2 linked regions of the Canis lupus familiaris genome follow. The protein of the gene in region 2 interacts with the protein of the main gene of each other region in a pairwise test. Links are inferred from orthologs where the notes say so. Each region holds a gene or a part of one and is shown on either strand. Other genes may lie near its edges.

Region 1 (3,744 bases), on a different chromosome or scaffold from region 2:
GTCCTCCAGGTTCTGCACGGCCACGAACAGGCAGCCGGTGACATAGAAGAGCTTCCAGCCCAAACTATCTGCAGAGCAAACAACAGGCAGCGGGTGAGGGGCAGCAGCAGCGGGCGGAGGCCTGCGTGCCATGGGCCCCCTCGCCAGCCGATACCGGGCAGGGGTGGCACCTGGGGCCAGCAGACCTGGCCCAGGGTGGCCGCCCGGCACTGCTGGCCCTGCCTGTCACTTGGAACCATATGTGAAATGTCCGGCCAGCTCTGTGCCCTCCACTCTCCCTGCAGCATCTGCTGGAGACACGGTGTGACTGTGACGGTGGAGGGAGCCACCTGCAGGAGCAGCTACAAGTGTGGCTTAGCCTGCAACAGCCTCAGGCAAATACAAGAGCACCTTTTAAGAAAGTTTCATCACCAGGGAAAGTGCTCCAGATACGAGAAGGGAAGAGCACAGGTGGCACGGGACAGGCTATTAGGAAGGATGCACCAGTGCTCAGGCTGGGGCAGCACCTGCACAGGTGCCTGTGGCCCCAAAGGCTGGGGCTCAGTGGGCACCACTAATGGTGAGTTCTCTCTCTCTTTTCTCTATTTCTCAAACAGACTAAGTGACAGGGTGGGCGGGAGGGGGGAGGGGAGGGAGGCAGGGGGATGCACCTCACCTCCACTGTAGTATGCAGCAGCCAGGCCAATGGACAAGATTCCTGCAAAGAGAAAAGAAAGCAGGTGCTTCTATTGGGCCACCAGCGGCCTAGGGCCCCCTCACTTGGAGCCACAGGCCCAGAGGTGCAGGGAGAGCAGGCCTTCCTGGTGCCAGGGTGCCTGGAGGTGGGGAGCAGGGGAACCAGAGACCATGGCTCAGGAAGGAGGGCAAGAGGCAGGAGGCGCGCTTGGGACCATGGCAAATGCCATTCTGCGTTCCGGGAATCTGTTCCTCTACCTGGGGCTCCAGGGCTGACCAGCGAACCAGAGGGAGGAGCCGGACAGCAGGGGTTTACTCTACCAGCGCAGCATGTGCGCAAGGACCACGTGTGGCACATGAAGCACTACAGGCAGGTGGCCACGAGCAGGGTGTCGGGAATGACGGACCAGAGGCAGGCTGCTGAAGGCACAGCCACACCACTCCTCACACCAGGCCCACCAATGGCCTGCAGCTGCCCCCGCGTGCTGGACGCCCAGAGGGACAGTGAAGGAGCGAACTGGGGCCCACCGCCCAGCCTGACGCCCGCACCCGGGCATTGGGAGGCAAGGAAAAGGAGAACACCAGGACCTCGGGAGAACAGGCACAACCTTAAGGTGAAGGTGGAAAAAGGACAATCGCACGGAGGATAAAAGCTAGAAAGATATGAGATAATTGTTGTACTTGGGGGCAACAAGACAGTTTTGTTTCCGTTGTTTTTATTTTTTTATTTTTTAGTTAAGATTTATTTATTTATTTATTTATCATAGAGAGAGAGGCAGAGACAGAAGAGGAGGGAGAAGCAGGCTCCATGCACCGGGAGCCCGACGTGGGACTCGATCCCGGGACTCCAAGATCGAGCCCTGGGCCAAAGGCAGGCGCCAAACCGCTGTGCCACCCGGGGATCCCTGTTTCCGTGTTTTTAAAGTTAGGTTTTTAGCTTGGGGGAAATACGGAAATCCTTACCAACAAGCAAAGACCAGGACCTGATGCCCGGAGCCCTCTTCAGATGGAGGCAGGAGCTGCTGCGGGACTCCACCTGCATGTACATCCCGGGCCTGGGCGGGCAGCGCTCCGACGCAGACGGGCTGGGGAAGGGCGAGGGCAGACCGCGGCTGGGGTCCAACCGCCCGCCCGCGGGGAGCCGGCCCGGGGGCACCGGGAACCCGCGGCCCCAGCAGCACGCGAGCCTCGCCCCGGCGCAGCCTCCCGGAGCGCGCGGTCCCCGCCAAGAAAGGGAACTGCGAGCGTCCTCGGGCGGCCGAGGCGCGGGGGGGCGGGGGGAGGGATCGGCGGGGAGGGAGGGGGAGGGGGGACCGACGGGGGAAGGGGGGAGGGGCCGGGGGCGGGTGCTGCCGGCCCGCGGACCGAGGCGCGCGGACGCGGCTGGCACCCAGCAGGCGGGGCTCCGGGCTCTCCGCGCACGCACCGAGGGTGGGCTCCGCGGCGCGGCACCGGGCTGCCCGAACGGCGGCGGGCGCGGGGGTCAGCGGCTCCCCACAGCCAGGGCCCCCGCGCCCGGCGCTCCCGCCACCACGCGCCGCCCGCAGCCCGCCCGCAGCCCGCCCGCAGCCCCGACGGCGGCCCGACCCCCGCGCCTACCGAACACACGACCCCGCGGGCGCTGAGCCGGGACCTCGCGGCGCGCGGCGGGCCGCCCACTTCCGGGGTTGGGGGCGGGACGGCTGACTTCCGGGCGAGGCGGGCCCGACTTCCGGGGCGGGGCCTCTTGCCGCAGCGCCCGCGGCGGAGGGCGGCGGGGGAGCCGGCGCCTCGGGGCGCGGGAGCGACGCCCCAGGAAGCCTGGAAAGGTAAACTGGGCCTCAAAAGTCTCCCTTAAAACATTGATCAGGGGATCCCTGGGTGGCGCAGCGGTTTAGCGCCTGCCTTTGGCCCAGGGCGCGATTCCTGAGACCTGGGATCGAGTCCCGCGTCGGGCTCCCCGCATGGAGCCTGCTGCTCCCTCTGCCCGTGTCTCTGCCTCTCTCTATCATAAATAAATAAATCTTTAAAAAAATAGAAAAATAAAAATAAAACGTTGATCAAAGCAGCTGGTGGCCCAGTCGGTGGAGCGTGTGCTCAGGTCCCGACCCCGGGGTCCGCACCTCCCCACCCAGCCCCTCTTGCTCTCAAATGAAATCTTTAAAAAAAAAAAAAAAATCGATAAACAAAAAGCGAAGATAATCTAACAGTACACGTGCACCAGCTCTGGCAAAAATGCTAAAGCTTCAGTAACATCGAAGGAGCATGAATAGCTTGTTCACGCACTGACAAGTCGTCATAAAAAATGAGCCCCGCTGCGGTGACTGCCGCGGCGCCGAGGCTCCCGGAACCGGGCCCGGCTCTCGCGGGCTAGCCTGTCCACAAAGGATTGCCGTGGGAAAGGCAGTTTTCTCCGGGAAAACCTTGCGATGGCCACGTAGGAGGCCCACCTGCTCCCTCCGCCAAATGCCACTTTCTCTTACTGCCGCAGGTGAGGACCCGAGCAGGACCCCATCACCTGGCTGCGGTCAGGAGGAGCCCCCACCCACCACCTCAGCGGGATGTTGGAAGAACAGGGGAGCTTCTCTTCTCCTTTGTCCCTTTCCTATTCTCAACATGTTTTACAGCCTTCGTAAGATTAGTGCAACGCGTAGTCCCTTACAGAGAAACGTGTGTGCACGGGTACACGTAACCCCAGGAGGCTTACCAACACAGGCACGCGACCTGACCCATCTGCTTCAGCTTCTCTCTGCCCGTGGCTTCCTAACCTGGGCAGGCATCTGAATCACCTGGCAGGCTTGTGGAAGCACAGATTGCTGGCACTTGTTCCTAGTGGTGGGAGGGGGCTGCAACGTCATCTGTTGCTAATCCGCTGGTCCAGGACCCACACTTTGAGACCATCTACCCCAGCTGCAGCAGAGCTGGGCTGTGCCTGAGCACAGCGGGCTCCCTGACCCCTCAGCTCACACTCTGTCTCCTCCAGGAAGACTCCCCTTCCCTATCTTGAAGGTGCATTTGAATTGTTAGTACCTCCTTTAGGTCCTTCCTGCTTGCTGCAGCTGGAAGTGATCTTATTCCTCAGGATTTAGG
Region 2 (3,744 bases):
TTGCCCCTCTCTCTCTCTCTCTCTCTGTGACTATCATAAATAAATAAAAATAAAAAAAAAAAGATTTAAAATAAATAAACCTTTAAAAAAAAATCTTTAAATTTTCCTTATCCTAAGCTAACCGACATCTGCCTCTATGATTTCTATCAATTGAACTTACCTGGTACCTATCTCTGAGACCATATAGAATGAAGGTTTTTTTTTTGTTTTTTTTTTTAAGATCTTATTACTTATTCATGAGAGACACACACACAGAGAGAGAGAGGCAGAGACACAGGCAGTGAGAGAAGCAGGCTCCACGCAGGGAGCCTGCTGTGGGTCTCGATCCCGGGTCTGCAGGATCACGCTCTGGGCTGAAGGCAGGTGCTAAACTGCTGAGCCACCCAGGGATCCCAGAATGAACAGTCTTTAATTTAAGCCATTTAACATTTCTTCAGAGTTAAAAGATCTGGGCAAAAATTTTAACTTCTCGGGATGCCTGGGTGGCTCAGCAGGTTAGTACCTCCCTTCAGCCCAGGGCACGATCCTGGAGTCCCAGGATCAAGTCCCATATCGGGCTCCCTGCATAGAGCCTGCTTCTCCCGCTGCCTGTGTCTCTGCCTCTCTCTGTGTGTCTCTCATGAATAAATAAGTAAAATCTTAAAAAAAAAAAAATTAACTTCTCACCTCTCTTCGGGATGGACTGCATCCTCTTAATATCTGTCAAAGATCTGGGTTCAAAACTAGACACTAAGATGTGCTCTGGCCAGTATAATGGAGAAGAAGATGGTCACTGCCCTTCTAGAGGCAACACCTCTACTGATACAGCCTTCAAACCCCACTCTCTGTCATCTCAAACTAACCCATCTTGTACTTTTAAGAAAATTCTCTCAACCTTCCTGTAGTGTTGGTTTCACAACAGTACCACAATACTGTGCTTGTGAAGCTGCTATTCATTGCCTGAAACTTAAAACTTGGGATTTTACAATTATTCTTGCTATATTACTTAGTCCAGCCTTGATGAACTCTAACCATTTAGCTACAGGTGGATTACCATGAGTTTGCTTGCACAGTCCCTTCCAAGACCCTACACTAATGTTGCATCGATGATTTTGAATTCTTCTCAAAGAAAACACCAAAACTTGTATGAGCCCCACAAAACCAGGATCTGCCTCTGCATCCACCATATTAACATCATGCTCCAGCTTCCTATTACCAACAAATTTGCCAAGTTTTCTAACCTCAGTCCTTCCTGACATAAAGTTAACAGAAGTGCACACTTGGGATCCACAACACATCCCTCCAGCCTTCACTCCCACCAATGGGAGTCTTACCTTAGTAAGAGGAAGCGTCCCATGCAGAGTAAGCCCCTCCTTCTCCAACAGCCTCTTCTCTTCATCTGTCAGTATCAGCCTAGCAATCTCCTGGGATTAGTTACCAGGAGGTGGGCAGCAGAGTTGCAAGGGGATGACAGAAAGGAATGGGGAATCCGCCCCCACCCGCGCAATGTGGGAATGATCCCGCCATAAATCAAGTACCTGCTCTGCGGGCTCCTCCACTTGCAGTGGGGTCGTCTGGGCCTCTTCTTTTCCATAGCTCCCACCATCTGCAAAACGAAAAGTATAAATAGCCAGACCCACGAAGCCTCTCCTCCCCTCAAACCTCACTTTCTTCCTCATCATATTTCAGACTCACCTAGATCTATGGAAACATGCTGTTGTGAGAGAGAGTAGGTGTGATCATGGTGCACGAGACAGGAATCAGAGGAGCTAAGGACGTTCAACGATGCTGGGGGACTCAGCATGGAACTCAGGAAATCCTCTGCCTCCCATTCACTCAACGCCTGCACAGGGTTCAAATAAACAAGCCTTGACCTATCAACTACCCACCACCCCATGAACGCTCTCCCGGGATCCCCGCGCCTCCCCGGCTCGCAGCCCCCACCCACCTCGGAAAGCGGCGGCCCGGCCCCCAAATCGCCGCTTTCCTCTAGCAGGAAATCCAGCAGGTCCTGGTCACCCAAGTCCAACGCCAGCTCCATACCGGATAACAACCGGAAAGATGTACAGAGAGACCTATCCGCAAGCCCGGACCTGTCGCTCTGAAATTGCACCAGCCCCCAAGACCCGATTCTCCGCAACTTCCAACACCACGGAAGTGACGCGCACACCCCCGAGGCACCACGGGATTTGGAGTTCCCTCCGACGCGGAAGTGGCCTAGCCGCGGCGCGCCACGTCCCGGGAGCTCTGCAAATAGAGGGGACGTCCCTGCGGCCTCCTCACACCCTGAGGGCGGGCAATCTGGGAGGCCGCCTCCGCCTCGGCCCCAGGCTGAAAAAAAAGGAAGGGTTAGAGACCAAAGGGGAACTCGCGCGCAGTTCGGGCGTCTTCCCGGATTGCGCCGCACCCTTGTTTCCTGCCGGGGGAGCCGGCCGGGGGGCGGGGGGGGGCGCCTTTTTAAGGCCGGCTCCCGAGCATCGAGAGCTGGGGCCAGAGCAGCTTCCTGTTGCCCCCACAACCATAGAGCGCGGGCCCAGGGCGCCGCCCGCGGGTGGGGGACGTTCCGGGGACGGAAGTGGCCGAGAGAGTGTCGAAGGGAGGGCGAGGCCGAAGCCCGATTACCACCGGGAGAGCGAGCGGGTTATCGGGCCGGCGGGCGGGGCACGAGCCGGGCAGCGCAGGTAGGCCGGACCGGGCCGAGCCGGAGCCTCAGGGTGGGGCCGCACGGCCAGGACCGGGAAGCGAGCGCGAGCGCGGGTGGCAGCGCGGGTGGCAGGGCGGGCGGGGCCCTTGCGTCCGCTGTTTCGGGTCCTGTTGGAGAGGTCAGCGTCCAGTGTATCTCGGCTTGGGATCGGAAGTTAAGTAGGTCGTTTTAAGGGAGCCAAGCCTTTCCTGGGATCAAGTCCTCTCTGTCTGGAATAAGTTTTGGGGAGGGTGAGGAGTTGGGTGACAGTGAGGCGCAGGGCGGGGATCGGCTTTGAGGTTAGCTGATAGTGAGTATGCGGGTAGGAAAGCTGGGGGTGAGTTTGGGAATTAGGTAGAGTTGGGTTTAGGAATTAAAGGTTAGCTTACGGAGTTAAAAACCGGAGTTGACATTTAGAGTTACCAGTGTGAGTCGGGTCCGTTTTATGTAGGTAGAGTTTGGATTAGGTCATTATTCTGTTTCTGGCCAACGTAAGTCAAAGTTAGGGTTCAGGGCCGGTTTAAGGGTCAACACAGGATTTAAATTAGAAGTCCAGTTTTTTAGGGATTAGAGAACATTAGCATGGAACTAGGGATAAATCGCGAAGGGATGGATCAGAAGTCAAGTGAGACAACAGTTTTAGGCTTAGAGATCAACATTTAGAGTTAAGGTCAGGAAATTCATTCCTAGAGGTAAAAAGTAGATCAATATTAGGGATCAAGGATTGGGGACGGGTGTCTGCCAGGAAAGGGATGAATGTCAAAGCCAGTGTTGGGAAACAGGAACCAAATTAGGGTCAGGGTTAATATTAGGGATTAGGGTTAGTTTTATGGGGGTTATGGCTGAGGTTAGGGTAGCTGACCTTGGATATATTGAATTTAAGAGATTGGCAGTAGGTAGGTGCTCTCGTTTTGCAGGGAGGTCTCATTCCTACGTAGTTTCAGGGGTTCTCTAGCCCAGAGATAGGATAAACTCATTTCAGGTTAGGGATCTGGGCTTCAACTAGAATTGCAGGTATCTGGGATTCTAGCTTCTTTATTTCTGTTCTCTAAATCCAGTGTTCTTGCTGTGGTCACCATGGT

The links.
Region 1: the proteins of CREB3 (region 2) and CYBC1 interact in a two-hybrid assay, tested with the Homo sapiens proteins (2 studies listed by BioGRID and IntAct). The two-hybrid records come from large-scale screens. The link is inferred for Canis lupus familiaris from reciprocal best matches to the Homo sapiens genes CREB3 and CYBC1.

The regions. Positions count from the first base shown.
Region 1 is NC_049230.1:759,946-763,689, reverse strand, and holds the start of CYBC1 (cytochrome b-245 chaperone 1), read right to left. Parts: upstream 2,362-3,744; 5' UTR 2,275-2,361; intron 1,761-2,274; 5' UTR 1,724-1,760; coding exon 1,639-1,723; intron 698-1,638; coding exon 656-697; intron 69-655; coding exon 1-68. UniProt on the Homo sapiens protein: Functions as a chaperone necessary for a stable expression of the CYBA and CYBB subunits of the cytochrome b-245 heterodimer. Controls the phagocyte respiratory burst and is essential for innate immunity.
Region 2 is NC_049232.1:52,553,916-52,557,659, reverse strand, and holds the start of CREB3 (cyclic AMP-responsive element-binding protein 3), read right to left. Parts: upstream 2,417-3,744; 5' UTR 2,021-2,416; coding exon 1,928-2,020; intron 1,823-1,927; coding exon 1,675-1,822; intron 1,586-1,674; coding exon 1,518-1,585; intron 1,404-1,517; coding exon 1,314-1,403; intron 1-1,313. UniProt on the Homo sapiens protein: Endoplasmic reticulum (ER)-bound sequence-specific transcription factor that directly binds DNA and activates transcription. Plays a role in the unfolded protein response (UPR), promoting cell survival versus ER stress-induced apoptotic cell death.